Drosophila melanogaster: one gene and its partners. The protein of the gene in region 1 interacts with the protein of each later gene in a pairwise test. Each region holds a gene or a part of one and is shown in the gene's direction. Other genes may lie near its edges. The genes, in order: Septin1, Uba2 and sip2.

Region 1 (11,189 bases):
AAACCCAGCGGGAGCCAGCAGCAGTGAGTATGAATCCCACGCAGTTCACCATTCCGCGGAACGGCGTCTTCATAGCCGTCAACGAGTGGTCGGAGCCAATGGCCAGCAGCTCCTCCGTCTCCTCTAGCTCCAACCATCATCATCACCATCACAGCAACAGCAATAGCAATAGCAGCGGTAACAGCAACATCATCAACAACAACAGCAGCAGCTCCAGCGGCAGCAACAAGTTGTATGAGAACGAATGCGTGGCCCTGGCCCAGCAGCAACTAAGAGCAGCTGCTGCGCAGGCGGCACAGGCAGCCGCGACGGCGGTGGCCATTGCGAGTTCGCCATCAGCTAAGGCTATGGCCGAACCAGCTCCAACGGCTACCATGCCCATCTATGCGCAGGTGAACAAGCAGCACAAGCTCAAGAAGAAGCAACAGATTGCCAGCGAATCGCAAACGAACAACAACACTGGCAGTGGCGAGATCGCGGATGCGGTCAGTGAATCCCTTACCGCCGGACTAGGCACTAGCACCGATGGCAGCGGCGAGGCCAGCGAATCCGAGTCGCAGGTGGAGGAGCACTCCATCTACGCCAAAGTGTGGAAGGGACCGCGCAAGGCGACCGAGTCGAAAATGTAATTGGCAGCTAGCGTGCGACCGAGATTAGTCCACACCCATCCAACTTCCTATCCCCCGCAGAAGCTTATCAGTTGGCTACGTTTTTATTTTTGCTGATAATTTGCGTGGCGCTTAGTCACTGCGGCCTTCTGTTTGTATTTCGCCCGTCCACCAGCTTTTATTTTTATTCTGCCCGCTATAAGTTCAGTTGTATTATTTAAGCAAATTGTTTATGGGCATGATTTAAATTAATGATTGGCTTGCCACAAGATTGTCACAACTTGGTTGAGGTAATTAATTCATTCGCAATCGTGCTGATCTCGGCTATGACAATCTGTGGTTCAAGTGTTCAATTTAATTACATTTTGATTTCGCCTATCTCCCGTGTTGAATCAATTTTGAACTTGACTGCATTACAATTGATGGTCTTGCTTTCGATTTGCAGTATGCATGATCCAGGGAGCAGCAGCCGCCTATCAGGAGCCGCATCCGCAGCAGCAGGGACCGCGTCAGCTGGAGCTATAGCTGCAGCCGTAGGAGCAGCTGCTGCCTCGCGGCACGACAATAAGACACAGCTTGGCAACGGCAGCCGCAGTAAGATGTGGATATGCATCAAATGTTCCTATGCCTACAACCGACTCTGGCTCCAGACTTGCGAGATGTGCGAGGCCAAAGCCGAACAGCAGCAACAGCAGTTGCAGCTGCAACAGCAGCAGCAGCAGCAGCAGCAGCACCACCACCACCACTTGCAGCAGCAACAGGCAGGTGTGTCATCAGTTTTCAGGAAATAATGTAATGCTTGTGCTATATCAAATACCTAATGCATTCCAGAAGCACCCCGCGACGAGCCATGGACCTGCAAGAAGTGCACCCTGGTTAACTACTCGACAGCAATGGCCTGCGTGGTGTGCGGCGGCTCCAAGCTGAAAAGCATCTCTTCCATCGAGGACATGACGTTGCGAAAGGGCGAGTTCTGGACCTGCAGCCACTGTACGCTCAAGAACTCGCTGCACTCGCCGGTCTGCAGTGCCTGCAAGTCCCACCGCCAGCCGCAGCTCTCGATGGCCATGGAGGCGGTACGGGAGCGACCGGATGGTCAGTCGTACGAGGAGCAGGATGCTGCAGCCGTCGGGGGCGGAGGAGGCAGTGCCCACCAATCGGGCGCCAATGAGGTCAAGGCGCCTACAGCCTTGAACCTACCGCTAACTTCGGTGGCGTTGCCCATGCCCATGCTGCAGCTTCCAACGTCAACAGCGGCTGGTCTGCGCGGCTCACGCAGTCCCTCGCCCAGGATGCAGCTGCTGCCATCACTCCAGCAGCAGAGGAACTCCAGCTCATCGGGCGCTATACCTAAACGTCACAGCACCGGCGGCTCCATTGTGCCACGGAACATTTCCATCGCTGGTCTGGCCAATTACAATTTGCAGCAGGGCCAGGGAGTCGGCTCCGCATCGGTAGTGTCTGCTTCTGGAGCTGGATCTGGAGCTGGAGCTGTCGGAGCCAGTACCAGCACAAAGAAGTGGCAGTGTCCCGCGTGCACGTACGATAACTGTGCCGCTTCCGTCGTTTGTGACATCTGCTCGAGTCCGCGCGGCCTGGCGAGCGCAGTTTTGGGCGAGGCGTTGGGCAGAAAGTCCGTTCGAGTTGCCCTCACACCGGCAGATATTCGGCAGGAGAGCAAGCTGATGGAGAACCTTCGCCAGCTGGAGGAGACCGAAGCGTTGACCAAGTGGCAAAACATCATACAGTACTGTCGCGACAATAGCGAGCTTTTCGTGGACGATTCGTTTCCGCCGGCGCCGAAGAGTCTGTACTACAATCCGGCGAGCGGAGCAGGCGAGGGAAATCCTGTGGTGCAGTGGCGACGGCCGCACGAGATTAACTGCGACGGCGGAGCGTATCCACCGTGGGCTGTGTTCCGCACCCCGCTGCCCTCGGACATCTGCCAGGGCGTCTTGGGCAACTGCTGGCTACTCAGTGCGCTGGCGGTGCTGGCGGAGCGCGAAGATCTGGTCAAGGAGGTGCTGGTCACGAAGGAGATATGTGGCCAGGGCGCATACCAGGTGCGCCTCTGCAAAGACGGCAAGTGGACGACGGTGCTGGTGGATGATCTGCTGCCATGCGACAAGCGTGGCCATCTGGTTTATTCGCAGGCCAAGCGCAAGCAGCTATGGGTGCCGCTGATCGAGAAGGCTGTGGCCAAGATCCACGGCTGCTACGAGGCGCTGGTCTCGGGCCGGGCGATCGAGGGACTGGCCACGCTGACAGGAGCGCCTTGCGAGAGCATTCCACTACAGGCCAGTAGCTTGCCCATGCCCAGCGAGGACGAACTGGACAAGGACCTGATATGGGCCCAGCTGCTGAGCTCTCGATGCGTACGATTCCTCATGGGCGCCAGCTGTGGCGGTGGCAACATGAAGGTGGGTTCTGCGTTATTACAAAGTCTTCTTCTATTTCATATGCTTATGCTCAATTATCAACATCAACCAAAGGTGGACGAGGAGGAGTACCAGCAGAAGGGGCTGCGCCCGCGACACGCCTACTCGGTGCTGGACGTGAAGGACATCCAGGGACATCGCCTGCTCAAGCTACGCAATCCGTGGGGTCACTATTCGTGGCGTGGCGATTGGTCGGATGACTCCTCGCTGTGGACGGACGATCTTCGGGATGCTCTGATGCCGCACGGCGCCAGCGAGGGCGTCTTCTGGATCTCGTTCGAGGATGTGCTTAACTACTTCGACTGCATCGATATCTGCAAGGTGCGCTCCGGCTGGAACGAGGTGCGTCTGCAGGGGACATTGCAGCCCCTGTGCTCCATCTCCTGTGTGCTGCTCACCGTGCTGGAGCCGACGGAGGCGGAGTTTACCCTATTCCAGGAGGGGCAGCGCAACTCGGAGAAGTCGCAGCGATCGCAGCTGGACCTGTGCGTTGTGATATTCCGCACCCGGTCTCCGGCGGCGCCGGAAATCGGTCGATTAGTGGAGCACAGCAAGCGTCAGGTGGGTGCTTCCCATAGCCCTGCAAATAGAAACGCTTCTAACAATTGCGTTCCATTTAGGTGCGAGGCTTTGTGGGATGCCACAAGATGCTGGAGCGGGACATTTACCTGCTTGTGTGTCTGGCCTTCAACCATTGGCACACGGGCATCGAGGATCCCCACCAGTATCCTCAATGCATCCTAGCGATACACAGCTCCAAGCGTCTGCTGGTGGAGCAGATAAGTCCCTCGCCGCATCTCCTGGCCGACGCTATCATTAGCCTGACCCTAACCAAGGGACAGCGGCACGAGGGGCGCGAGGGGATGACCGCCTACTATCTGACCAAGGCAAGTGATCCGGTTGCGAAGGGATCTAGGGATTCGGTGGCCTTACTAACTCGACCGCATTTCCTTTACAGGGCTGGGCGGGTCTGGTTGTGATGGTGGAAAATAGACATGAGAATAAGTGGATCCATGTGAAATGTGATTGCCAGGAGAGCTACAATGTGGTGTCGACACGCGGCGAACTCAAGACAGTGGACTCTGTGCCCCCGCTGCAGAGGTGGGCTCCCAATCGACCACCTAAAATATTCCCCCAACTAATTGCTTAACGTGTGCTTAACGCTTTCAGACAAGTAATCATCGTTCTCACCCAACTAGAGGGCAGTGGCGGCTTCAGCATCGCCCACCGGCTGACCCATCGTCTGGCGAATTCCCGCGGCCTGCACGACTGGGGGCCACCCGGCGCCACCCACTGCCCGCCCATCGAGAATGTCCATGGACTGCACGCTCCGCGGCTAATCACCTAGAATGGGATAGGGATAGGGATGGATGGCAGTGACGCAATTTCGATGCTACCCCGCGATATGTCGCTGTTCGAATCCTGATTTGCATGCGTCTCCTCTCAATTCTACCCGTCTTCTAGTCGATGTTCTGTTAACGAATCACACATTACAGCGAAAAACCCAAAGTTGAAACCAATCAGCATGCGAAACAATTCATATATATGTGTATAGAGCCGTGCAGATATGATATATGTATGTGTTTATGCACTAAGGCGTATCGGAAAGTGGGAGCAGATCCCCGGTGGGGATACGGCAGAGCCCAGAAGCCCCAGTCCGGAGTCCTAAGGCTAAGGCTCGGCACGATTCGCTTGAGATCCAATGATCTGTGTTTTGATTAGAGCGGCTATGATTGTGGATTATATAGATATGTATTGTGAATTTAAGTGCATCCAATATTAATATGTGTATTGTTTTAAAAATAAAGACTACAAGTTATAAAAGCCACCAATGTGTAAACAATTTCAAATGTGTACGCGCGAATTGGAAAACGATTCAATCAAAATATACCTTACGATACACAATAGATGGCGCCAGGAGATATTCGACATGGTATCTACATAAGATGTTATCTACTGTCAAAAACGCTACGAACTAAATCGTAAATATAGTCCGGGCTTAAATTTCCGATTAATAAAGTGAAATCATAAAAATATAGTCATGATATAATATAAACCATATAAAACCATAATAATTAAATAACTTATTAAATATGGTTACGTTCAACCAGATTTTCAAAAGAAATACCAGCTTGATCTTGTTCAGACGGTCGTCATTTTTGTTTTGCCGCCGAACTGGTCCCACTGGCAGCAGGATTTGCCAGTTGCGCGCTGCGGTCACACTAGTTGCCCTGCTATTTTGTTCGTCATTACGTTGATTTCTTCGTTCGTTTCGTGTTTTTTTTTAAAATGGCCGATACAAAGGGCGTGAGTAGCCGCTGTTCACTTGTCCAAATGCTAATGGCCAACGGCCAGTCCCCCAACGAACTCGATCCGCCGCCAACTGGGCGTGGCGTGCCATCCACTCCTGGTTGCCAGTGCATCAAATGCCGAATGCGGCGCTCCTGTTGATTTGTTTGCCGCTCATCTCGCCGCGCCAGTTCATCGGACACTCCTCCTGCACCGCCCTTTGTCCACTCGGTGGGAGCGGGCATTGCTGAGCGGGAGTGGAGAAGGAAGTGGAAGTAGAAGTCAAGTGATTCACAACATGCCGGTGGCGTCGGCGTTGTTCCTTTGTTCCCGGGACCTCTGCCGCCCTCGCGAAGCAACTTCGGCCGCCCGTGACCCACATGGCAGTGCATTCTGGTGCACGGAGAAATGAGTGCCGTGCCCATAGTTTGGGCGCCCAAGAGAAAACTGATCCGCGCGTGATGGGCATGCAAATCAAGCCAAGCCATCGCTTTCTAAGACCCAAAACCCTAACTACCAGACATTAGCTCAACCCAACTGAGTTGGGTTACGAGTTAATAAGGCATATGGAATACTTTCAATCACTTGTCCATTTTGGGTCATATCCTTGAACCCATTTCTTAACTCAACTCAACTTTCTCTTCATGAGATGCAAGTTTTTACTATTCCCAAAAGTGTTTTACCGAGAAACATAGTTCCAATTAATTGGTAGATAAATTGATCGACCGCAGATATATGTACAATATTACTATGATTTATCGTCAGTCTGCATTGCATGGTTTTATAGCTTAATCAGCATAGGCTGACCCACTTAATTATTCGCATATGTATTCATATGTATAGAACACAATGCACGGCACATTTAGTTAATATGCAATTCGTTAAGATTATAATTTCCATATGCAAAAAAGTCCACATTTGTTTCGCCTTTAAACGTTCCAGAAATAGTGCTGATATTGAACTGAGTAATTCTTGGTTTTGCAAGCAATGTTTGATTGTTTACCTGTTCTGAAATTAAAGGCATTACCTATCTAGTAGATTCTCAGAAAGTTTCTAATATTAATTATTTTTATTTATATATGAAGCCTAGGACTTTTGGTTCTCTATACTAATGTTATTCACCTATTCTCGTGCAGTTTTCCAGCATCGAGACGCCCGGCTATGTGGGCTTCGCCAACCTGCCCAACCAGGTGCATCGAAAGTCCGTGAAAAAGGGATTCGAGTTCACCCTAATGGTGGTGGGCGAGTCCGGACTGGGCAAGTCCACGCTGGTCAATAGTCTCTTTCTCACCGATCTCTATCCCGAGCGCATTATTCCGGACGCCATAGGTGGGCATAGTCTTTCGTCATCACTCGCTTTGATTACTCATCCAGGAAACCATTCCCCTCTTGCAGAGAAACAAAAGCAAACCGTAAAGCTGGAGGCATCGACGGTGGAGATCGAGGAGCGCGGCGTCAAGCTAAGATTGACGGTGGTGGACACACCCGGATTCGGCGATGCCATCGACAACTCCAACAGCTTTGGTGCCATACTCGAGTACATCGATGAGCAATACGAGCGCTTCCTGCGCGACGAGAGCGGCCTGAACAGACGCAACATTGTGGACAATCGCATTCACTGCTGTTTCTACTTTATATCGCCGTTCGGTCATGGGTGCGTTCCTTTTCCGTTTAACTTTTGAACATTTAATATTAAAAATAAGGAGTTCAAAGCTCAGTAGTGTTGCAAATTGTATAATAGAAAGTATAAACGAAGTATCACATCAATTTTTGTACCCAGCCTAAAACCCCTGGACGTAGAGTTCATGAAGAAGCTGCACTCTAAAGTTAACATTGTGCCCGTGATCGCAAAGGCCGATTGTCTCACAAAGAAGGAGATCCTGCGCCTGAAGTGCCGCATTATGCAGGAGATCGAGAGCCACGGCATCAAGATCTACCCACTGCCAGACTGTGATTCCGATGAGGACGAGGACTACAAGGAGCAGGTGAAGCAACTTAAGGAAGCTGTGCCTTTCGCCGTCTGCGGCGCCAACACACTGCTCGAGGTCAAGGGCAAGAAGGTGCGCGGTCGTCTGTATCCATGGGGCGTGGTCGAGGTAGAGAATCCCGATCACTGCGACTTCATCAAGCTGCGCACGATGCTCATGTAAGTGAAGCAAATATTCCAATATCTGATTGCTTATTAACTAACCACCTATCCCGCTGCCCCACAGCACCCACATGCAGGACCTGCAGGAGGTCACGCAGGAGGTGCACTACGAAAACTACCGCTCCGACCGCCTCGCCAAGGGCATCAAGGGCAAGGAGAACGGCGTGAAGGCCGAGCGGGACAGCAGCTCGCAGGTGGTGTCGAACAGCGTGCTCGGCGAGAAGGACCGCATCCTGCAAGAGAAGGAGGCCGAGCTGCGGCGCATGCAGGAGATGCTCGCCCAGATGCAGGCGCGCATGCAGGCCCAGCAGTGAGCAGGCGGGTATATCTTTTATATACGCGCTTGGCGGAGGCGGCAATCTCTAGTTATACACAAGTCGTATATATACACATATACAAAACATATATTTTGTACGCAGATTTTGGTTGCGATCGCGCTTTAATTCTACTCTCAATTGTGAAACGACGGGCGCTAAGTATTCTGTATTAATTTCGCATTCTCCATATATATATATCCGTAGTATCTAGATATACACACCACATACATTTATACACACATCTAACTTACACCTGCCGCGTATGCAAATGCCTGCAATGCAATTGCTTCATCAGAAAAACAAAGAACATAAGGAACACCAACCATCAGCGAACTCATATCACTTCTATCAAGCGAAACCACACACGAAAACAATTGTATTCCTATTATGTATTTAGACGCGATTAACAATGAATTATTATTGTAATACGCATCTAGGCTAAGCGAATCCAATCCGATTTATATTGTATGTTAATTCATTTTTGTCTGTTTACCTTACCCTTATCTGTGTTGTCTCAAAGCGAGCAATTTATTTAGGTTATACTATATGTTGCGTGTCAGCCTGCCCTTCCGATCCTTCTTGACCTCCATGGTCCGCTGTCCTGCAGTGCCGCCCGATTCCTAAGCACGATCTGATTGAATAAACAGTGATCCCTTCCTAGGCGGTCCCGGGAACCCATGGCCAGTTGCGGAAACTCGGTTTAGCAGGCTACTCGCTTAAAAGTGCACTCCTTTAACGGATGAAACAAAAACCAAAATGTGAAATCTCTTTTATTATGTATATGAAGACTTTTTTAACTCAATATAATCCTCTATGAATATATAAATATGCTTTTTATACAATTTGTAAGCCAGACCGTCTTATGCATTTTCTTGTAGTCTCCCATTTACTCAAAGTGTAAGGGGGCATACTATTTGTATTCTTGAGGAGATCACTAGCCGACTCCATCCAGTTACATATGTATGTACATATATGTACGTCTGTCCGTATGAGCGTCAATATCTCGGAAACTTTAACAAGCCGAATGTTCCAACTGCCAAGCCCATTTGTTTGTTTGATAAGTTTACTTTTGTTGTATTTCAATAACAATAGTTAGGCATTCATATCCTTTAGATACATTTGCAGTTGTGTTCGCCTGATGCCTGGCAAAATCTTAACCTTTTAGACACTTTTCACAACTGCTTGTCTTGCTTTTTTAGAGCGAAACCAAAATGCTCATTCAACGTATGCATTCGAAAACACAAGCAAGCACAAGAGTAACATTGCGAGATTTCACTATCAGCTTTTCCAATCACATTGGCATTATTGTTAGTAGAACAAAAGTTTTACTTGTACATATTTGTCAAGCGTTCGTCGAAAGAGCTTAAGGATCCTCACAACCTCAAGTATCCCTAGTTCAACCCATACTTGAGTATTGTCCGTGTGTATGGTCTCCTCAACACGTCTAGCATCAAGGTCTTGTGGAATCGGTACAGGGACACAGCCAGGATAATCCCTACCATCCCATCAATCATTCTCATGAAAAGAAGACTTATTTTTTCGAGACGAAAACGATCTCTATGTTGGATACATATTTTAGACGGAAGCAGTATCGGGTTTCAGATTGTAGAAGATGATGTGTGGGTAAGGTTAAAAAACCAAGAAAGAGATCGAAAAATAAGAGCAAAGTCAGTTGCAATCTGAGAATGGTTCGATCTCGACCTGAGTATGCTGAGCATGATTCGATCTTGGCTAGATTTTGAGATCGAAGTTCTTAAATCGAGATCGTTGAGAACGGCTTTTTCTCTGACTGTGCTGAGGTCAAACCCCCTTTTTCTGGAACCAGCAGTTCCTCCAGCTCCCTTGCTGGTCTATTACAATTACCATTTACCATTGTAAGCTGTTCCAAGAAAAGAACCTCGGCTTCTAGAAATCGAATCTCGCAGCGATGACTTCCTCACGAAAGCAGTTGAAAAAACAGAATATTTATGATATATAGCTCAATATTTCGGACTTTCTTACTTGTTTATTTATGAATATAAACCTATAGGCAATCTGAGATCTAGGAGCATTACGATCTTTCGCTTAAGAATATGTTTAATTTGCATCCGAGAACAAATTAGTAAAGGATTATTGAGTTGTAAATATTTGTTCATGTGTAAACATCGGTTTTCGTAGATTGCCAACAGATGGCGCTGTTTGTCACAAGATGGACAGTATTTTCCTGCTGTCTTACACATGATTGTCGGCTACTCGGTATTTTTTCATCATACGGTCACACGGCGCACATGGTGTGCGGTAACAATTTTTTTTTGCCGGCAAAGAAATGTAAATTCAGCCATGATTCGTGCGATTTCAATCCGTTGGCTGCTGCAGCGCCCGGGGGACAAACGACACTCCGCCTGGCTGGTGGCCAGGTCAAAGAGCTTACTCGTCCGCAACCTGAGCACCACCAATCAGGTCAAGGGCGAAACGGAGGAGCCCTCGCAGGCGGATCTGTTGCGCGAGTTTGCCCACATGCCGGTGGAGCGCATTCGGAACTTCAGCATCATTGCGCATGTCGATCACGGCAAGAGCACGCTGGCTGACCGGTTGCTGGAGCTCACGGGAGCCATTGCGCGTAATGGCGGGCAGCACCAGGTACTGGACAACCTGCAGGTGGAGCGGGAGCGTGGGATCACGGTCAAGGCCCAGACCGCATCGATCTTCCACCGTCACAAGGGACAGCTCTATCTGCTGAACCTCATTGACACTCCTGGTCACGTGGATTTTTCCAATGAAGTGTGTTTCATGTCAAAAGTCTGCTAATTCTTCTGCTAATCATTTGCCCATTACCCAGGTTTCGCGATCTCTGGCTGCCTGCGACGGCGTGGTACTCCTGGTGGACGCATGCCATGGTGTCCAGGCTCAAACCGTGGCCAACTATCACTTAGCCAAGCAGCGTCAGTTGGCAGTGGTTCCCGTGCTCAACAAGATAGACATCAAGCATGCAAACCCTGATCAGGTTTGTCAGGATCTAAAGCTGCTGTTTGGCATAGATCCGGACGAGGTGCTGCGCGTGTCCGCCAAGCTGGGCACCGGCGTATCTGAAGTCTTAGAAAGGGTCATAGAAACTGTGCCGCCACCACAAGTTCAACGGGACAGCGACTTTCGGGCCCTAATCTTCGACAGCTGGTTCGACAAGTATCGCGGAGCCCTTAATCTAATTTATGTGCTGAATGGCAAGCTAGAGCAGAATCAGGATATTCAGTCGCTAGCCACCAAGAAGGTGTATTCCGTCAAGAGCATCTCTGTGTTGAGACCAGCCGAGTGTCCTGTTCCGGATGTATCCGCTGGTCAAGTGGGCTTGATTGCTTGCAATATGCGCAACAGCAAGGAATCCATTGTGGGCGATACCATTCACCTGAAG
Region 2 (9,974 bases), on another chromosome or scaffold:
TCATAGTTATTCTGTTTGCCTTGCCTTGACGCCTTGTCACGAGGGCATTAAAATTAATGGAATCGCTTAACAATACGATTGCACTGTGTAGAGTTCTGCCAAATAAAACAATCGCAATAACTTAATGCAAGATAAAATAAAAACTAACTTAAGAATTTAACTAAAATGTAGCAACAAAATCTAACTAAGGACTAATAACATAACAAAAATTATGCCCGTAATTAACTTATTTTATGTGGCTGCTCAAACTGCCGGCCCGTTTGCTTACAGATATATATCAATGTATATATATAGAAATTTCTGCATTACATATAGAACGTACGACTCAGCAAACGTCTTGTCCGAATCTTACTGGTAACCGATCAAGTTTAGGTTAACATGTCGCCCAAGTTGTCCTTGAGGGACTGATAAATTTGGTATTGTTGATCTGGCTTAAGGTTGTAAATCTGTGTCAGCAGCTTAGCCGGCGACGGAGTTCTGATGAAGCTGGATATATAAACGTTAACGAAGGTCGCCATAAGAAACTGACAATCGAAACGATCCATAATGCCGCCATGTCCGGGTATCATGTCGCCAAAGTCCTGCAAAACAAGATGGTGTGTTGCGTTACATTGAAAAGACCTGTGTTCCGAAAAGATTACTTACCTTAATTTTGAAAGCTCTCTTAAATCCAGAGGCAAAGAAGCCACCAAAGGGTCCAATAATGGAACTAAACAGGCTCAGGGAGATCGAGTGCCAGATAAAGGGGTAAAGATTTAGAGTCTTGCCAATGCCAAACTGGAAATGAAAAAAATTATTACTGTAGCTATCAGCACAACAAATCGGTAACCCATAACTCCATAGAAATACATTATCACTTACCAATTTAAGGCTGTATTCCTGGGGCGTGAACAAATAGCTTGGCACACAGGACATTGTCATGCGTCCCTGTTCCTCCGAGTACTGGATGGGACAGATAAAGTACTGGTAGTTGCACAGCACATACGAGAACAGAATGCCAAAGAGGACGGTGGCGAAGCCACCCCCGATGAAGCCCTCCCAGGTCTTCTTGGGGCTGAGCTTGATGAGGGGAGTGCGCCCAAAGAAGAAACCGAACACGTACGCCATGACATCATTGCACACTATCATCGAAACAGGTACGATGAACCAAATGAGCCCCTCAAATATATTCTGTATGATGAGGTAACTCTGGGTGACGACAATCAGCAGGGATACATGGGTCCAGGCAAACAGGCTGAATTGTTTGATGTAATACTTCTTCACCAGTGAGAGCACGAACCAAACGAACCCGATGATGTACAGGGCGAAGGAAAGGAACCGGTGATAGGTCACCAGGAACTTCAGATATTCCTGTAGATGAAATTGCATATTTACCAGGCGATATAATCAGGTTATTGTATTATTTACTGACCACCCGATTAATTACAACGCCAAAGTAGTCTACCAGATTCTCTCCGTAAAAGAAGTAATTTGAGGTAAGCAGGAAATACCAGGAAAGGCTTCGGAACCAGGGCAAGCCATGAATTCGATAAACCTGGTAGCCAATCGAGATGATCTCCTGGAAGCACTTCACCTGCACCAGTAACGTCTGCAAAGAGAAAGTAGGACAACGATTATTTGAAGACTCGTTTAAGCGAATTCCATTAAACCTACCGTGATCATCAAGGCCAGCGGTCCACCATAGATGATCAATGCGAAGCCGCAGATCATAATCCATGTGAAGATGCCGCGAATCACCCAGTTCTTCCATCTGTGGAATGCGCAAAAAATAATTGTTTGTAATTGTACATATTTACTTTTAATATTTGCTCGCCAACTGTAGACAGCTGTGGATATGGATTATTTTTGGAACGCACTCATACTCATTCTGTCGGATTTATAAAATTCGCACTTCAATAAAATATTTTTTGAATCATCAATTCCAAATCGACCTTTAGCTATTCATCATGATCTTTAAAGATCCCAACTACGCATATGGATTTGTTTCACATACCTATCCGGCAGATCCTTGAGGGCCGAGTCCAATATCTCGGGCGTTTTGTCGGTTCCCTGCGGCAGATTCTTGGCCAGTTCGTCGACGAACTTCTCCTCGGGAATCTTCTCTTCCTCGGAGTCCACCTGGCAGGAGGAGGAGCAAGGGAAAGGGAAAATTCACTTATTGATTGCATTGGCTGGGACTGCAAAGTAGGTTTCCTATCAGATTCGATACGACCGGAGTGCAGGGTTTAAATACTTTCTATTGGACGACGCCGAGCAAAGTCCATGATACGTGTATGTATGTGCCTATATACCCATAATCAGAATCACTCGTTTATCCAATACACAGGCACATAAAATAGAGAGGGGAACCAAGTGGGGAGAAAAATTGCGGGTTTTTTTGGGTGGCGTGTTTTGTTGCCAAATAGCTTGGTTGATAAGGAGGCATTATCACCCAGCAATAACAAAAAAAGTCCAAGCCAGAAAGGGAGTCTGGTCATGGTAATGGTTTCGGCTCTGGGTTCTTGGCCCAGTGCTTCCCTAATTGGCGTAGTCCATCTAATTGGATTTGCTGGTCATAATGGCGCTATATTGCAACACAGCAGGTGGGTGGTTGGGTGGCAGGCAGGCTGGCTGGCTAGTGGTGTGTTTTGTGTTTGTTATTGGATTTTCTCCAGGAGAGAGCTCTCTCTTCTTTCTCCCACCTGCTTGTGCGTCAGAGAATAACAAAAACACATAGCCACACACATTTGTTGGTATACACACATTGGCTTTTCTATGCTCCAAGAATTATGCAAATTGGTGTCCGGAACAGCTGCCGCTCGGCTGCTCCACATACAAGTCATTGCTACTTACATGGTCCGAGGAGTCGGCGGCGGAGTTGCGCTTATTGGCTGCGTCAGATCCGGAGATGGCCGTGTCCTCCAGTGGCTCATCCTCGCCCTTCCTGCGTCGCACTTCGGCCATTATTCGATGTTCGCCAGATCTATTCACAATGTATTGATTCCTATTGATTCCGCTTGAGCAGTTCTCGTCCGTGTTCCGCTCTCCGCGTTTGCCGTTTGCCGTGACCCGTGCTGCGTGATCCGTATGTCGACTTCGTCCGAATTAAAATGCTTTTCTCTATTTCTGATTAGCCCAGCATGCAGTGTGCCCAGCTTGCGCAAAGTGGGCTGGTGGAGCAAAAGTGTTGGCAAGTATGCTCAATTGCTGTTAGGTTTTACAAGTTGACTTTTCGGACAGAAAATGTTTGATGTCTTTTAAAAGAACTTTCTTTTTCTGTGCAATTAACGGTGACTTTTGTCGTAATATGTAAAATAAAATATATTAATAATACTAGAAAAGTTAATTTAAGTGATAATAAGAGTCACCCATATCAGCCATCCCTGGTAGAGAATATCCGTAGCTTTATACGTTTCCCAACACCTGCACCGGCGGCGTCACTTTTCTCGGCTTTTCCGTATCGCAATTTTGCAATTTTCTCGCCAAAAATAAGAAAAAGGAAAACGTAAATTCAGAAAATGGCAGCAGCTATCAATGGTGTTTTCCCACCCACATTGCAGGAGCTGGTAAAGAAGTCCAAGGTGCTGGTCGTGGGCGCCGGCGGAATCGGCTGCGAGGTGCTCAAAAACCTTGTGCTTAGCGGCTTTACAGACATCGAAATTGTAAGTTTTTTCGAAAAAAGTATTCCATATTATTAATTTATAAACGTTACCCAGATCGATCTGGACACAATTGATCTTAGCAACTTGAACCGACAGTTCCTATTCCATCGCGAGCACGTTGGAAAATCTAAGGCACGGGTGGCTAGGGAAAGCGCACTGAGCTTCAATCCGGACGCTAAGATAACCGCTTACCACGACAGTGTAACATCGTAAGTTGGGATAGCTTTGCCTTTACATCTTGCTAACAACACATACCTTTTAGTACTGATTATGGCGTCAACTTCTTTAAGAAGTTCGATTTGGTGCTCAGCGCCTTGGACAACAGGGCCGCCAGGAATCATGTAAATCGCATGTGCCTCAATGCGGATGTCCCGCTGATCGAGAGCGGCACCGCCGGCTACAATGGCCAGGTGGAACTGATCAAGCGTGGACTCACCCAGTGCTACGAGTGCACTCCAAAAGACAAACAGCGAAGCTTCCCGGGCTGCACCATACGCAATACGCCCTCCGAACCGATTCACTGCATTGTCTGGGCCAAGCATCTCTTTAAGTGAGTATACCTAATAATTAGTCTAAATTGCAGCAAATCTATTGATTTATTTGCAGTCAACTGTTTGGTGAGTCCTTGGAAGATGAGGATATTTCTCCTGATGCTGCTGATCCCGATGCAAAAGAAAAAGACGGCGGCGATGGAAATGGCGAGCCCAAAGGCGATGGGAAGGAAAAAGGCGAAGAGTCAAAAGAGGAAAAGGAGGCCAAGGAGGATACTGCCAACGGCAACATAATGCGCATTAATACTCGCCAATGGGCCAAGGACTGCAACTATGATGCGGGCAAGCTGTTCAACAAGTTCTTTAACGAGGACATTACCTATTTGTTGCGTATGTCGAATTTGTGGAAGACCCGCAAGGCACCCGTGCCCGTGCAGTGGGATACCCTGCTGCCCGAAGGATCCTCCGGTGATCAGAAGGATGTGGCCAAGCAGCATCACAAGGTGTGGTCCATCGAGGAGTGCGCTCAGGTCTTTGCCAATTCATTAAAAGAGTTGAGCGCTAACTTCCTGAAACTCGAAGGCGACGATACTCTGGCTTGGGACAAGGACGACCAGCCAGCCATGGATTTCGTGGCGGCCTGCGCCAACGTGCGATCCCACATTTTCGACATTGAGCGAAAGTCAAGGTTCGAGATTAAGTCAATGGCGGGAAACATTATTCCTGCTATTGCCACCACAAATGCGATTACGGCGGGAATTTCCGTGATGCGGGCTTTCAAAGTGCTGGAGGCCAAGTGGGAGCAGTGCAAGGCCGTCTATGCCCGACTTAGACCAAATGCACGAAATCACTTCCTTGTACCGGACGCTTCTCTTCCTGGCCCCAATCCCAATTGCCATGTATGCGCCAGCGATCCGGCCATTACTCTCAAGATCGATACGAAGCGCATGCGTATAAAGGAGCTGCGTGACGAGGTCCTGGTTAAGACGCTCAACATGTTGAATCCGGATGTGACTGTGCAGAGCAATGGCTCCATTTTAATCTCCTCAGAGGAGGGCGAGACCGAATGCAATGACGGCAAGCTCCTAAGCGAATTAAACATTGTGGATGGTGTGATCCTCAAGTGCGACGACTTCTTCCAGAACTACGAGTTGAGTATTATCATTTCCCACTTCGATGCGGAGCGCGATGAAAACTTGTTCGAAGTCGTAGCAGATGCCTCACAGCTGAAGCCAAAGGATGAGGATCAGAAGGAGGCCGTGAAAGACAAGGAGGATGAACCGAAATCGGCTAAGAAGCGTTCTACCAACGGGGAAGGAGACTCAAAGGACGATGGACCCTCCACTTCGAAGCGCAGCCGGCCCAACGAAGTGGTTGAGGAAGATGACGATGACTGTCTGGTAATCGAGGAAGACGAAGACCAAGCAGATGTTGTTGTCGTGGCCACAGACAAGCTCTCTGTGCAGAGTCCCCCAAAATCGGGCTCCAAGCGCAAGCCATGTGAAGTAATCGAGGATGAGGATATCACCGAGATTTTGGAGTCGTCTGACGACGAACCCGCGGGACCAACCAAGTGCAAACGTTCCCGCCTGGACGATTCGAACCCCGTGGCAGTCATCAGTATCGATTAATAAAAAAAAGAAGTTTTTATTCGAATAAGTTCTCAACTGCGCACTAAATTATGCTCTTGATTCCCTGTAATTTCATTCTGATTTAAAATAAAAACACATTTTTGTGGATGATAAAATTTTTAAATTTTTGTGCTTTGAACGGGTTTGGTTTTGCTCTACTCGATTAAATTCAAATAATCCAGTGCGAGAAATGTAATTTTATTAAATAAAAGAAATATAAAATAACATTTAAAATTAGTCAAATTTTTAATTCGATAACTTTTTAACGCCAACCAGTGCTGCGAAGCACTGGAAGTCATTGTGCCTGTTATCGGTTTCTGACCAGTTCAATCCAAAACAGAAAAAGGTGAGCTGTTCTACAAATTTTCATTGTAAATCTCAATGAAAATGCAAATTTCAGATGTCCCTGGCTAGTAGAATACTGCAACAAGGTTCCCGCTTGTGGAATGGTCTCAGTGCCGCGCGTGGTTTCCACCTTCTCACCCGGCCGGCGGCTCCTGCAATTGTATCAATTCAAAGCTCGCAACTTGTGGCCGCCACAACTGGAATCTGTCAGACGTCGGGTCTGCTGACGCCTGGCTCCACTTTGGTCCAGCAGGTGGCGGGATTCAAGGTCAAGGGACGCCTGAAGCGACGCTGCAAGGACTGCTACATCGTGGTGCGCCAGGAGCGCGGTTATGTCATCTGCCCCACGCATCCACGCCACAAGCAGATGTCGATGAAGAAGCGCGACTACAAGTCGTGGATCCTGACGCACGCCACCCAATCCAAGGAGCGCGGCTATTAGACCTAATTAGGCATTAATAAAAGCATTTCTTTAAATATGTTCATAAATAAATAAAAGAAAAATAATCCAAGTAGTCCGTGATACGTTTCCTAACACTGTATCAGCTGATTGTTTGTTTATATCGCAGTCGTTTCTTGCCTGTTTTGCTTTTTACTGTATCCGACCGGAGTTCAGTACACCTGGCCGAAAAAGATGACGACGCACTTCAGCAATGTACTGCGGCAGGCATTCAAAACGTTCGACCGGGCAAATCACGCCAGCTTCAATGCGAATTTGCAGCATCTGCGTCAATTGACGGATGAGCTGACCTACCGGGATCTGCACCTCCGCGAGGAGCTCTTTCGCAACGTGGGAAGCCATCGGGCACCCTGCAGCTACATGCATATATTCGAGGATGATCGCTTCTCCATGAGCCTGTTTATAGTGCGCGGAGCGAGCACTATTCCCTTGCACGATCACCCCATGATGTTCGGTCTGCTGCGCTGCATCTGGGGTCAGCTAATGGTGGACAGCTTTTCGCACCAGTTAGGCCCGGATGAGCCGCTCACCTATGACCCCCATCAAACAGTGGTGAAGGTGAATGTCGAGGAACCCAAATTGGTCACGCCGGCTAGTCCGTGTGCCACATTGACTCCTAGAAAGAGAAATTACCACCAGATTGCCCAAATTGGTAGCGGCGTAGCCGCTTTCTTCGACATTCTTAGTCCGCCATACGATGCGGATATGCCAACATATGGACCGCGACAGTGTCGCTTCTATCGCGCCACGGCAGAGGGCAGCCAGGTGCAGCTGCACTGCATCCCATCACCGGATACATACTATTGCGATGTTGTGGACACGCCCGAATCGGTGATGCAGGCCGCTTTTCAGTGCGCCGACGAGGTCTATGCCGATAATGCCAGCGGGACACAGTGAGTCGTTATCTCGCTTCCCAGCAGCTAACACCCTCCTATTTATTTGCCCATAATCAACCGTTGGCTGATCGTATCAGCCAAGTATCTTCTGTGTTATTTAAATAAAATTGCCTCCTTTTTTTGTATAAATCGCTCCGCTTTCACGGAATTTGTTTGGGTTTAATCTTCTTGCGCTTGGTAAATGTTCTGATTGCGTCGCTTAAGTTTTTTCACATTGGGACTAGCGGGCACTGATGCAGGTTCCTCTACATGAGGCGTTTCCGTTGCTATAATTGCTTCTTCAGCTTCCTCCTCGGGCAGGTCTATCACGTTTTCATCGGTGGTATCAGCTGCTGCAGTTGTAGGTGCTGGCAGGGATAAGTTAAGTTTCCTTTTAGTTGGCGTAACCAATGGTTCAGCCACGTCTTCTTCCACCGCCTGCAGCTTAGAACTTTTTGTTTCCCTATCCTTGCATTCGGTAGCTCCCACCGCAGGCAGATCTAGGCCATTCGCCAACAAAACTAAGCACAGCGGATCGTCTATACCCAGAGTGGCACAGAACGTATTGCTCTGGGGGTTTAGTTGAACCTTGGGTTGATCCACAAACATGTGCTTATAATCAGACTGCTCCGCGGGATCGAAAGCTGGCACTGTGCGCTCAAAGTTCTCGGGGACTTGAAGTTTCTGAAACTTTGCGGTCACTGCTTCTAGTTCTTCTTCAGTGGGGGTAAAGTTTGATCGCTCTGTAAACTCTCCCGCCTTTTTTCCGGGCAGGTAATAATAATTCTCCTTCACTGAAATCAAGTGATTTGTACTGTGCAAGATGGCTAGCCACTCTGCGTCGTATTCCAGGCGGGGAGTGCCTTCGATGGGGTCACTGGGTACCTCTACCACTTGCAGGAAAGCACGACGTGGCAGGCATTTGTCGAGAGCCAGAAACTTGGTCACGGGAACAGATTTGGATGGTGGAGGTACAGGAGCAGCTTTCTTTACCTTCTCCCTTTCCTCGTCTTCATCTTCACTGCTGCTGCTGGAAGAGGAAGATTCAGCATCTCCTAGCTTCTGGCTGTGATTGTGCGGCACCAAAGCGGCAAACTTGCAATGCAAATGGGCAGCAAACCAGTAGGCCGGTTGGACCGCTTTCAGTAACTCCTCCAGTGGCTGGCTACCCAGCTTCCCGCTTTCCATGTCTGCAGCAAAAAATGGTTTCTTGCGGAGCAGTTGCGCCTTGTTTCCGTATTCATAGATGCCGGTGGGCCAGTCGTGGGACAGGAAAATATCAACTCGCCCGGAAATTTGTTTCAGCCGAAAGACTTCTAGCTGCCGCACATGGTAGACACTGCGACACGTGGAATCGGTATACGGAGGGAATTCGTGATGGCCGCGCAAAAAGTCGTGACCCTTGAAGATTCCGCTTATTCCAGCTATCCGAACACCGTTTACATTGACGACGCCGGCATAACCAAGGTAGTAAATATTTGGAGCCACCCAACCGCCGTATGGGAGCTCCTGCAGGTAATTGGAGGCCTCATGGTTGCCGCCAATGAATATGGTCAGCACTGGTGCTACCAGCTCGCCACTGTAGTATCTTTAAAAATAAATGGATTACCTCCTGATCCACAAGCTGTCGAAACTCTACTCACTTGTAAAAGGAGCACATATCCAGGTACTTCTTTGGTACAGCCATCGTCTGCAAATCCTCCAGATTCCGGGTGGACTGAAAATCGCCACAGCACAATAACAAGTCGATCTTGGTGCCGCCAACCTTTTCGATGCCCTCTATGGTGTCGTATATTCGTTCCAGCTCGCCATGTGCACATCCTTCGACAGCTATTTTCATGGTTAATAAAGGTAAGTTACTACTTTATAAATAAAACTTGGTTGTAAACAAATGCAACCGGTTGTCCAAACAAATAACGCGTTCTGATATCGCTTATCGATCGGCAATTCAGTGTGAGAAAACGTCTTTGGGGAACGACAGGATGGACGCTCTTATCGATAACTCTACTTAATGACCGCCAATATTTAAACTGCTGAAATCTTCCGGAAACAAAGTCTTTCAGCACTTAGCATTATTAAATATAATTATATATATTAGATGTACTTATAAAATTCGTTCCCTGAACGGTTTAAATACCTCACAAAAAGGTACACAAATAAGAAAAAGATTTCTCCAGTTCAAACGTTAAAAATTTTTTTTTTTTATTTTTCAAAAATATCGCTTCATTTAGTACAGAATATACGTGTATGTGTGTATAAAGAAAATGTATGTGAAATGCTCTGCGTTGAATTCTCATTCTCTGACCTAGATGCCAACTTTTTTTTGGAGTTCTACGGGGGCGTGCTGGTGGGCACAATCTCATTTAATGAGACCTTCTCGTCCTGACGTGTTTGTTTTTCGTTTCGTTTCGTTTCGTTTACATACAAAGATTTACAATGGACTTAAGTTATCATAATTTAGTTGGCCGCCCTGGCCACAAAATAGGAAATAAAATATAAATCTACAATAAATATAGTGCGGTCTCGTCGCC
Region 3 (10,116 bases), on another chromosome or scaffold:
CATGTCGACAGGTCCTGTTATATTAGACCGGCTGTATATGTATATGTATATGTGTTCATTTTTAATATTGGTATTGGGTAAAAATTTCCGAAATTTTTCTTATAGATTTTTTGCTGTCTCACCATGACTCAGCACCATACATATATACTTTATATTGTAAAACATTTATTTTCCAGGCCCTTTAATTATGTATTGAGAAGCAAAGTAATGAGTCAAAGTCGAAGTCTATTGAGTTTGTTCATACTTTGTTGCATTTCATAGATGAATTTCATAACTCGTAATAAAATTAAAATTCATTAACATTATGTATTTAATTTTACTTGTTGAGTCCAATTTATAGTATTATTTGCCAATGTATACTGTATGTTGAATGGAATAAACTAGTTTTTCAAATATGGATAAATAGTTAGGAAACAATAACATTTTGTCATGTTTATTTGCAACAACAATTACAATATGTACACATTAAGTTTTAAATATAATGCAAAAGGCACCGGTTCCCTCTTAAGAACAATTAAAAATAGCTTAGACCCAATCCTTGGGGTTCTTCAGGACCTTCATCAGTTTGCCCTCCTCGGACTGGGACTTGGGCTCGTGCATGTACTCCCAGCGGGCGTGCAGGGGCAGGGACATCAGGATGCTCTCGTACCGGGCTCCAGGCGTGTATAGACCGAACTTGGTGCCACGATCGTAGATCAAATTGAACTCCACGTAGCGCCCGCGGCGCAGCAATTGCCACTGTCGTTCGTTGTTGCCATACTCCCGATTTTTGTGCTTTCGTACCAGCGGCACGTAGGAGGGAATCACGGCCCTGGCGCAGCTTGACACAAAGTTGAAGGCCGCCTCCTGGTTGGGCGAATCGATGTCGTCGAAAAAGATTCCGCCAATGCCGCGGCTCTCGTTGCGATGCTTGATGCGGAAGTAGTCGTCGCACCACTTCTTAAAGCGCGGGTAGTAGGTGGGATCGTGCTCATCGCAGGCGGACTTCAGCGTCTGGTGGAAGTGGGAGGCGTCCTTCTCGCAGAGGTAATAGGGCGTCAGATCCGTGCCGCCACCAAACCACCACTGCTTCTCCCCCTTGGCAGTTTCCACTTCAAAATAACGATAGTTGAAGTGAATGGTGGGGACATGGGGATTCCTCGGATGGATCACGGCACTCACACCGCTGGCAAAGAACGGCAACGAGGCGCCCTCCTTCAGATTCTTGCCGCGAGCCCGCATCTGTTGTACTGCAGCCGGGGGCAACGAACCGGTGACCACGGATATATTGACGCCTGCCTTCTCGAACACATCGCCATCCTGCAGGACGCAAGTGATGCCGCCTCCGCCCTCAGGCCGCTCCCACCGGTCCACCTTGAACTTCTGGCCACAGTTCTCCTCCGCCTCCAGGGCGCGGCAAAACTCCGCCTGGATCTCCATGATCAGGATCTCCATGCGATGACGCATGTTCTCCTTGTCCCCCAGCAGTGCCTTGGAGTCGGTGATGGGCTCGGCCATGAACCGCGAGGTGTTCATCTGCACCCCGTTGACCTTTGGGTCGACAGCCTCCGCGGAATGTGCGTACGTGACCGCCGAAAAGCTGGCCAGGCCCAATCCCGTGCCGAGGAGAAAGCCTCTGGCGTGCGGCCCCCTGGTCCGGCGCACCAGTTGAAAGGTGCCCAGCGATACCAGGGATATCGTGTGACGGAGTGCGTTCATTATGTGCTCTCGCCTACTTCAAATTTTTAACTTAACTTAAGTACTTTCGCCGAACGCAGTTTGTTTGTTATCTTTCACTGACCCGGCATTTCTAGTTGCATAGTCGCCGGTGTGACCGTGATATCACCAAAATATACCGAAAATAGGGGGCTCGCGATTTTGTTCTATTTACAGAGATACAAGAAGTTGTAACGTTCTTATAAAAATATTATATATTGTTAAGAACACTAGCTAGCTCAATATGTCTGTATATATACACAAAATAATAATAATAAATAATATATGTTAAAAGTTACGGAGCAGTACAATTGCTTTTAATGGTAGACATATTTGTCTTAATTTTATATTATTATTTGTTATAAGTGATATAACTCCGATGATGTATATGTGTAGTGTCCATTGGAATACCCCATTCAAAAATATAAGCGCAATACGGGCACTCTGTCGTGGCATTTGAAATAAACGACTGCAAAGGCGCGTCGATCGTTGGCAAATGAGCGTGCTGTGAAGAAATCCATGAAATATTTGCGTGTGCGCCTTGAAGATTAAGGAAGATCTGCGTGAATACTATTGCCAGAAGGTAGGTGATCGACTGGAGCGAACTCTAAATCCTCTGAACTATAGTCAACGCGCAATTATACGTGTTTATCCCGTCGACTGGAGTTTTGCACCCAGGACACACGCACACTCGCACACTCACGATGTCTGGCCTCAAGAAATTCCAAAACACTGAGGAATGGCGTCAGAAACTCCGTCAGTTTCTAATGACCGAGCGGTAAATACACATTGAAACCCATCCTTGGATAGTGTTGCACTAGTGTTCGATGAATTTGTAGTCATTTACTTTCAAACAAGCCACCTGCATGTCAAAATTGTTAGAGAAACAGTACGCATAAATAGTTTGGACAGTTTAGACACACATACAATTTAGTTGAGAAAACTAATAACAGTTTTCCTTTTTCAGCTTGCCGAAAAAGCCCGTGAAAATGGACGAAACGAAGGATATGCGCTATAGTTTGGAGATCGACGAGGATTTGAGGAGACCCTTGGAGGCGCGGGCCAAGAAAGTTCTGGCCGTTAATTCTGCCAGTCAAAGGACTGTTAATCTCGGCGAGGATACTATGTACGAGGCAGGTGACTTGGAGCACTTGGACGATGGCGATGATAGCTTCAGTGCCTTTGAGCGCATGTGCGACAAAACCGGTTCCGATCCGGATAGCACTCTTTTCCAGTACCTGCACAGCGAGGACCGGAGTCAGGTGATGGCCAGGGCTAGGGATCATAGCACCGACGATCAGAAAGAGATCGATGCACTGCGTCGCATGCTAGAGGCAGTGGGTACAGAAGACGATCTATTGGAGAACGAAAGTCCCGTCAAGGGGGCGGAGTGCACTCACCTGGAGGACATTGAGGCGCCGTCGCGCTTTTGGGACAACACCCTGGCCGGAATGGACGAGACCTCATCCGACTCTGGGCTGACTCCTAAAGCATTGACCAAGGTTTCGCCTGTCAAAATGGTGGGGCTGCTTCGCCCCTCAACCATCATCGAAGACAGCGAACTGGAGTCGTCTGATGTGTCTTCACACACAAGCTTCCAAAGCGCTCGCACCCTAAAGACAAATGCATCTAGTTCTTACGAAACAGCCACGGATACTTCCCTCAGTGGAACGCTCCTAAACGTCGACGAATTGTTTTACGCCGCAATTGCCAAGGCCAAGCCACCAGGAATGTCCAAGGGAGAGGAGCTGGAGCTCTTAAGCGATCTTCATGGCAGTCTTAGAGAGCTGGCCTCACTTCCGAAGGATGAGGTCGAGGAGGAAGAGGACGATATAGAGGATACAATAATCGAGCTATCCTCTTCTGACGATGAAGAAGTGCAGCTAGTTCCAGAAGTAAAACAAGAAGACACGTCCCGTGTGTCCTCAGTCCACGGAAAAGATCACACTGAGCAGAAACCAGCGGAGAAGAGCGTTGAAAATAAGGAAAATTCGTTGCATTTCAATGATACCATGGAAGAAATGGAGTACATGATGCAAAAGGGTATGGAGTACATGGCAGGTGGGGCTCCTTCAGTCGCCGCAGTCAAGGCAGATTGCCCTGTGCTGCCCAAGACCAAACAAAGCACGTTCGTTGTTTCACCGAAGCCGGAACCAAAATCACCGGCTGTAGCCTTTTTGCAGCCATCAATTCCGCTGCGGTCATCTAATCAGCCACAAACAGTTGTAGGTTCATCTAGCACGGGTAGAAAGCCGCTCAATGTCGGCCTCACCATGGAGTGGACCAAAAAGAAATTTTTCAGTGCAGCCTCTGGTATTCCTCAGCGTCGCCAAAATCAGATAAAGCAGCCATACGCCAACATAGTCAGTCCCATACGCACCTACACCCAGAAGTCTGGTACTGCTCCGCTAATGAGTACATTCCGTCCAACGAGTTCTGATATGCTATCTACACTGGCCATCAGTGAGTTGGAGCAGGAGTCTCGCTTGTGTCATCCTAAAGCACTTTTCGCAACAAAGGACGAAACACCCAAGTCCAGTGAAGCGGAATCTTTAATTATCAATGGAATCGATTCAGCCGCTGATCTGCTTCCCAAAAAGGCTTACATATCTTCCGAAATCAAGCATGTAAGTTTAAATTTATATATAAGCCATGATGAGTGAACGTAAACTAATACCTTCCATTGAACAGGTGGTTGATGAACGAACTCCTTTGCCCATGCCGAAGGTACCTCAAATTCAAAAATACCTCAACTCCGCCGTGGAGCCTACTGTTATGCGCCACGATGGCAAAATGAAAATGCCCGGCGAGGCAGTCCGCAATCCGTCGTCTTCGCATATCCCACGACGCGCCAATCACAGCCTGGCTGATCTGTCGCTCGCCTCAGGCGACGTGTCCTTATACACAATAAGAGATGCCCAAAAGTTTTAAGGCCCATAAAAGTACTTCACGCTCCTTGACTAAATATTGCAACGATAATAAATGTATTGTGTAACTAGTGCTAGTAAATGCCTTCGTTTTCGTTTGATAGTATCAATGCTTGCATCATCACTTAACTCGCGCCTGCGGTCCCTTCCACGCTCGATTAACCTTGGACTCTGAGGTTCTGCCCAGTTCGGTGCAGATGTACCGCCCCACTTGGATCAGTTTGTCTAGGTTGACGCCAGTATCGAGGCCCATGCCGTGCAGTAAGTAGACCACATCCTCGGTGGCTGCGTTGCCTGACGCCCCCTTGGCGTAAGGACATCCGCCCAAGCCAGAAACGGAAGAGTCCACCACCCGAATGCCATAGTCCAGTGAGACCAGTATGTTGCTCAGAGCCTGACCATAAGTGTCGTGGCAGTGCACGGCCAGATCTTTAGCCGGGACGACCTTGGTCACCTCATCCAGCATTCGGCGCATTGTGCCTGGAGTGCCCACACCAATGGTGTCGCCCAATGAGATCTCATAGCAGCCCATTTGGTACAGGGCTTCCACCACTTTGACGACAGCACTCGGCGCAACAGCACCCTCGTACGGGCAGCCAACCACGGTGGAAACGTAGCCCCGGACGCGCACACCATGCTTTTGGGCTGCTTTCAGCACAGGTTTAAATCGTTCGATGGCCTCAGCTGCCGTGCAATTAACGTTCTTCAGCGAAAACGCATCAGATGCGGCTCCAAAGACTGCCACCTCCTCGGCTCCCGCCTCCAGAGCACTCTCGAATCCCTTCAGATTAGGCGTGAGGACTGGATAGCTTATACCAGTCACTTTGCGGATTCCTTTCAGCACTTCGGCATTGTCGCCCATCTGTGGCACCCATTTGGCGCTCACAAAGCTGGTGGCTTCTATGGTTCGCAGTCCTGTTTCGGACAATTGGTTGATCAGCTCGATCTTGGTGGCTGCCGGCAGGAGTTTGGGCTCGTTTTGAAGACCATCCCGCGGTCCAACCTCCACAATTCGCACCTGATTGGCCGCGCTTGTAACCGCCGTGCGCTGTTAGTTTTAAAATTATTAAAATATTGTCAAGTGCGTTCGATTTTCCGTGAAATTACCTTTGCTGTAAGTGCAAGGATAGAGCGAATTGGTGCACTTATCATTGCTAAATTTGTAAATAAACGTTACGTATTCCGCTTCTTCTTTTTTCGCTGATAACAGCTGATAATGATCCAAGATCGATATGTTGCTAAATTTCGATAACTGTTTTGCTTAATGAGCTGCCATCTCTAGCGCAGAGGCGTAAACACATTTTTTGTATACAAACGGGTATTTGGTGCTAATTCTTTGTAATGGAAATAGCAGAGATATCTGCAGAAGATGAGGATGTGTTTCACTTTGAGACCGAGCACCTGGCCCTGCGTGGCAACCAGTGCTATACCAATTTGCTGCGCACTTTGGCCGTGCTGCAGGCACAAAGGATTCGGGTGCATCAGCAGATTGAGGAATTGGAAGCCACACAAAATATCTACTTGGAGAATCCGCAACATATGCTGGACAAACTGCGAAACAACGAGCCTTTGATAGCGGATAATTACATCACCACGACCGTTCTACCGGACTTGCCAACTCTGTCGCCCAATGACGAGGAAGGGGGCACAAATGAGACACCGACCGATGCGTCTTCATGGACGCAAGAGGCGAACAAGAATCGGGACAGGAGCAATGGACGGTCGGAGAATTTCAATCGCTTGTGGACCAACGAAGAGCAGAGTCGCTTGGAGCAGCTGCTCATCCAGTATCCGCCAGAGGAAGTGGAAATGCGCAGATTCGGGAAGATAGCGAAGGCCTTGGGCAACAGAACGGCACAGCAAGTGTATAGTCGTGTCCAGAAGTATTTCCAAAAGCTGCACGATGCCGGAATGCCTGTGCCCGGTCGCATACCCAAGCATCGACGTCCTGGTTTGAGTAAGCCGAAGATCAAACTTCGCAAGTCAACCTTCTTCCCCGCTCATAATATATCGCTACAAATGCCAGAGGACGATTTCACATTTGACGACCTGCGAATCCCATCGCCTGCGAGCGATATGCTCCTTATGCCGGCATCCAAGATCGAACCAAAGATCGAATCCGAGTACATGGATGCCGATCTGAATGCGGAGTCAAAGCGAAAACAGGAACTATGCCTTAAGCTTCTATCAGCCATTCAGGACGAGAAACGGGAAATGGAGGACGGATATGAGCCAGACTTGCTGGCCGCCAAGTGTGCCGAGTGCGAAGAGGCATCTGTGACCAGGACCCAATGGCGTTGTAACAGTTGTTATTGTTACCTTAATCTGTGCGGAGATTGCCTGGCCAGTCAGCTAATCGAAGGGCGTTTCGAGCATTTAAGTCATGAAGTTGTAGTGGACCAAGAGTCATGACGCTCCTAGAGTCCCATTTACTTGAGTACTAAATTACTAGACTTGCCTGTAAAGCTACAAATTAAATATAAAGAGAATAATTTTAAAAAATTCTATTTTATTTATAAAAACTTAATATTAAATGGTATAAAAGAGAGGCCCTCTTAATTGCGCAATTGGGCAGATGATTTCGGCAGAGATTGAATACGCTGGCGACGCTTTGCTTCGAACTCCGTAGCCAGCTGCCATGTTTCTTTGTCCAACGTATCCTTCCCCCGGGCGATGCCCAGCAGCCGTGAGAGGACCAGCAATCCATGCAGATCATCGGCATTACTTTTGACATTAGCTTTACGCATGTCCACGAAATCCTGCTGGATCATTTCAGTGTGCTCCTCGCTCACGTTGAAGCCGCTAGTGCGCGCTGTGGTCAAGTACTTGCGAAACTGCTGCAGACGTGATGGCTGCAGATAGTGGTGGGCTGCCTTTAGAGATTCATCAACAAGTTCCACGGCCTTAGAATCGGCATTAATGGGCAGCACAAAATCGCTCTGAAAACATATCATTAATAGTTTCTATTGGATATAATGATTATTTATATAAACTTATATTCTTACCGGCAACATACTTCGCCCTTCACTGAGCACGAGAACTGGAATATTTGCTTGGTAGTCTATTTGGTAATACTGAAAGTCGCACTTCAGTTCCTGATTATTGATCAAGTGCGCTAAATGCTGAACGGCATGAACACCATTGGCCTCCAGCTTGCCCTGTTGCATGCACGTCTCGTCGAGCACCAAATGCGTATGGGGAGCCAACTGTAGTACGCCGGAAACCAGCTTGTTTGTCTCATAATCCTTCCTGCAAGTACTCATTAATAGGTATTCAATTTTATACTATTTCTGCTTAGCCAACTTACTTTGGGGCAAAGGCTGCCGTGTTTAGTGTGACGAGAGTCATGGGCATGTAATGGCTGGCCGGCAGTAGCAGCTCCAGAATTTGATACAACTTGGTTGCATACGCCTCACAATTCTTAGGGAGATTACAAAGGTTAAGGGCGAACTTGCCGATGCTCTGCATCTCAGAACGACTGTAGACCGTAGATATTAGGTGGGAGAGCAAATACTCGGCAGCCAGATCGTCATCAAAGAGGCAGAGTTTAAGAAGCATGCGCAGATCTTTGTGCACAGCAAGGTGGGTTGGATACGTCTCCTCACATATTTCCGTTGGCTGTCGAAGGCTTTTGTCCAGCAGCGGATTGGCATGCGGCAGCACCTGGACTCCGAAGGCATGCAGGCGGGGTATAAGAAATGGCGATGGATGAGCTGCCTGCAGTTCACTCAAGTTTTCACAATCGTCTATTTCCAGGGTAGCGGCGTCTAGTGAAGCATCCACTGACAGAAAGCCCACAAAGTCGACCAGCGAGTTAAGCTGGTAGGTATCGAACTCCTCGTAAACCTTTACCATGCATGCCATGCTGGGACGATCCGGCAGAGGCGAGTTAATCAGGTAATCAGACCCAAGAACAGAGGATTTGGAGGCGCCGACTGGCTCGCTATCTTTTTGAATCTCTTTTAGGCAGGGTCGCTTGAACGTTGTTTCGCTCGCAACGTCCACATCCATGGCTTCTTCTTCGCCTACAATAGTCCGCTTCTTGGCTGAACTGGGAGATTGACCCAGACTGGCCAAATCGATCTGGGGACAGCACAGCTTCTCATGCTCCTTGCTCCAATCGTTCAGACCAGGCACAGAGACCACGAACATGGTACGCCTCTCTCCATGCACGTTTCCATCGGCGTTGTAGTCAATCACTTCGCCATTGGCTATTTTCAAGCAGTCCCTGTACTTTCCTTCCTGTACACGTTTGCTGCCGTCGGCGGATTTCACTTCGTAGCGCTCCAGATAGATTTCTGGGTCCATCATGTCCTGGATCATTCCACGAAAGCGCACCAGAGTCTGATCCTTCAGCTTGTGAAGAGGCGTGTAGTTGAGCAGGGGAATCGAGTGCCAACGACTGGGATCCTTGAGCAAGTCCTTGAGTGCAGCGCTGTCCGCTTGCTGGGCGGCCAGTTCATCGGGCGTGCTGGGCAGCTCCATCGCACAGGGCATTATCTAGTTAACGAATGAATTTGCAAATGCCTCAAAAACCTCGAATGCAAAAAACAACAGCTGCTTTGGCGCGCCAAAAACTGATTGCAGCATATTAGTGATGGTCATCGATGGGCCTATCGATATCTGCCAGGGATGTCGAACTCTGCCGCAGAACGGATGTAGAGGCGGATGTGGACATCCGCAAAAAATGTACAATTTGAGAATTACCAAAGAATTGCAGCGATGAGCAAGAAGAAAAGCAATGTGTGGCAGTACTTCTACAAGACATCCGGCACAGTGGCCACCTGTCTGCTGTGCAACAGGAACTACTCGAGGCGAGGACGCGGCACAACATGTCTGCGGAATCATCTGAAGAGCAAGCACCCACCGGAGTTCCTATCTCTATCCGGGGACATAAAGTACCTGGACCTGGTTAAGAGCGAGATCTCCATCGGTTCGCCACAGCACCCCACAGCCCAGCTAGAATTGAATCTGCACGTAAGTGGGATAGCATATAGATGTGCATACATACCTATGTACATGCATATGTACTGTGCAAGAAGTGTACCTTATGTGAAATCGGGGTACATGCCCTTCTAGATATTCTGTCATGTGGAGATGGTTTCCCCAAACTTAAGTTTCCATTCAAATATAGTTTCTTTGGTAGTTCATAAAGTAATTTATGCCTTCTCTTATTTAAAACTTTTTACTAATATAGCAACAGCGGATGCGGATTTTTATCCGCGTTTGGCTAGATCGGCAAACATGTGTTGTGTTTATAAAGTGTAGTTAAGGAGGTTTTAAAAATGTACTGTTATGGTCTTAGTATTATATTTTTATAAATTATGCGTTTTTCACTAATCTGATGCATTAAATTATTCTATTAATCATTTTAGGAAACAGATTCAGATCCATTGGACACCGAGGATATATCCTACAGCAAACGCTGTGATGAGAAGTTGGCCCTCATGCTACTAAATCACTCCTTTGAGTTCATTGAAGGACCAGGATTCGT

What was found.
Region 2: the proteins of Septin1 (region 1) and Uba2 interact in a two-hybrid assay, tested with the Drosophila melanogaster proteins (one study listed by BioGRID).
Region 3: the proteins of Septin1 (region 1) and sip2 interact in a two-hybrid assay, tested with the Drosophila melanogaster proteins (one study listed by BioGRID).

What each region holds. Positions count from the first base shown.
Region 1 is NC_004354.4:21,353,041-21,364,229, forward strand, and holds Septin1 (septin 1), read left to right. Parts: upstream 1-5,245; 5' UTR 5,246-5,335; coding exon 5,336-5,353; intron 5,354-6,471; coding exon 6,472-6,664; intron 6,665-6,730; coding exon 6,731-6,989; intron 6,990-7,115; coding exon 7,116-7,481; intron 7,482-7,548; coding exon 7,549-7,798; 3' UTR 7,799-8,648; downstream 8,649-11,189. Other genes in the region: sol (small optic lobes), read left to right, coding at 1-625, 1,054-1,373, 1,440-3,028, 3,101-3,607, 3,667-3,933, 4,005-4,147, 4,217-4,394; waw (waclaw), read left to right, coding at 10,019-10,561, 10,620-11,189. UniProt on the Drosophila melanogaster protein: Involved in cytokinesis. May be involved in p53-dependent apoptosis.
Region 2 is NT_037436.4:8,121,228-8,131,201, reverse strand, and holds Uba2 (Ubiquitin-like activating enzyme 2), read left to right. Parts: upstream 1-3,383; 5' UTR 3,384-3,497; coding exon 3,498-3,641; intron 3,642-3,695; coding exon 3,696-3,850; intron 3,851-3,903; coding exon 3,904-4,191; intron 4,192-4,247; coding exon 4,248-5,763; 3' UTR 5,764-5,875; downstream 5,876-9,974. Other genes in the region: Cds (CDP-diacylglycerol synthase), read right to left, coding at 369-581, 646-777, 862-1,350, 1,412-1,588, 1,654-1,750, 1,994-2,118, 2,833-2,943; mRpL36 (mitochondrial ribosomal protein L36), read left to right, coding at 6,164-6,550; CG7550 (uncharacterized protein), read left to right, coding at 6,743-7,465; ldbr (lariat debranching enzyme), read right to left, coding at 7,624-9,031, 9,087-9,283.
Region 3 is NT_033779.5:6,956,101-6,966,216, reverse strand, and holds sip2 (septin interacting protein 2), read left to right. Parts: upstream 1-2,142; 5' UTR 2,143-2,278; intron 2,279-2,361; 5' UTR 2,362-2,399; coding exon 2,400-2,473; intron 2,474-2,540; exon of another isoform or gene 2,541-2,561; coding exon of another isoform or gene 2,562-2,584; exon of another isoform or gene 2,585-2,662; coding exon 2,663-4,322; intron 4,323-4,386; coding exon 4,387-4,626; 3' UTR 4,627-4,701; downstream 4,702-10,116. Other genes in the region: Coprox (coproporphyrinogen oxidase), read right to left, coding at 526-1,698; Hmgcl (3-Hydroxymethyl-3-methylglutaryl-CoA lyase), read right to left, coding at 4,744-5,670, 5,730-5,774; Atac1 (Ada2a-containing complex component 1), read left to right, coding at 5,964-7,034; CG3430 (uncharacterized protein), read right to left, coding at 7,178-7,561, 7,628-7,871, 7,930-9,119; CG13775 (uncharacterized protein), read left to right, coding at 9,345-9,599, 9,998-10,116.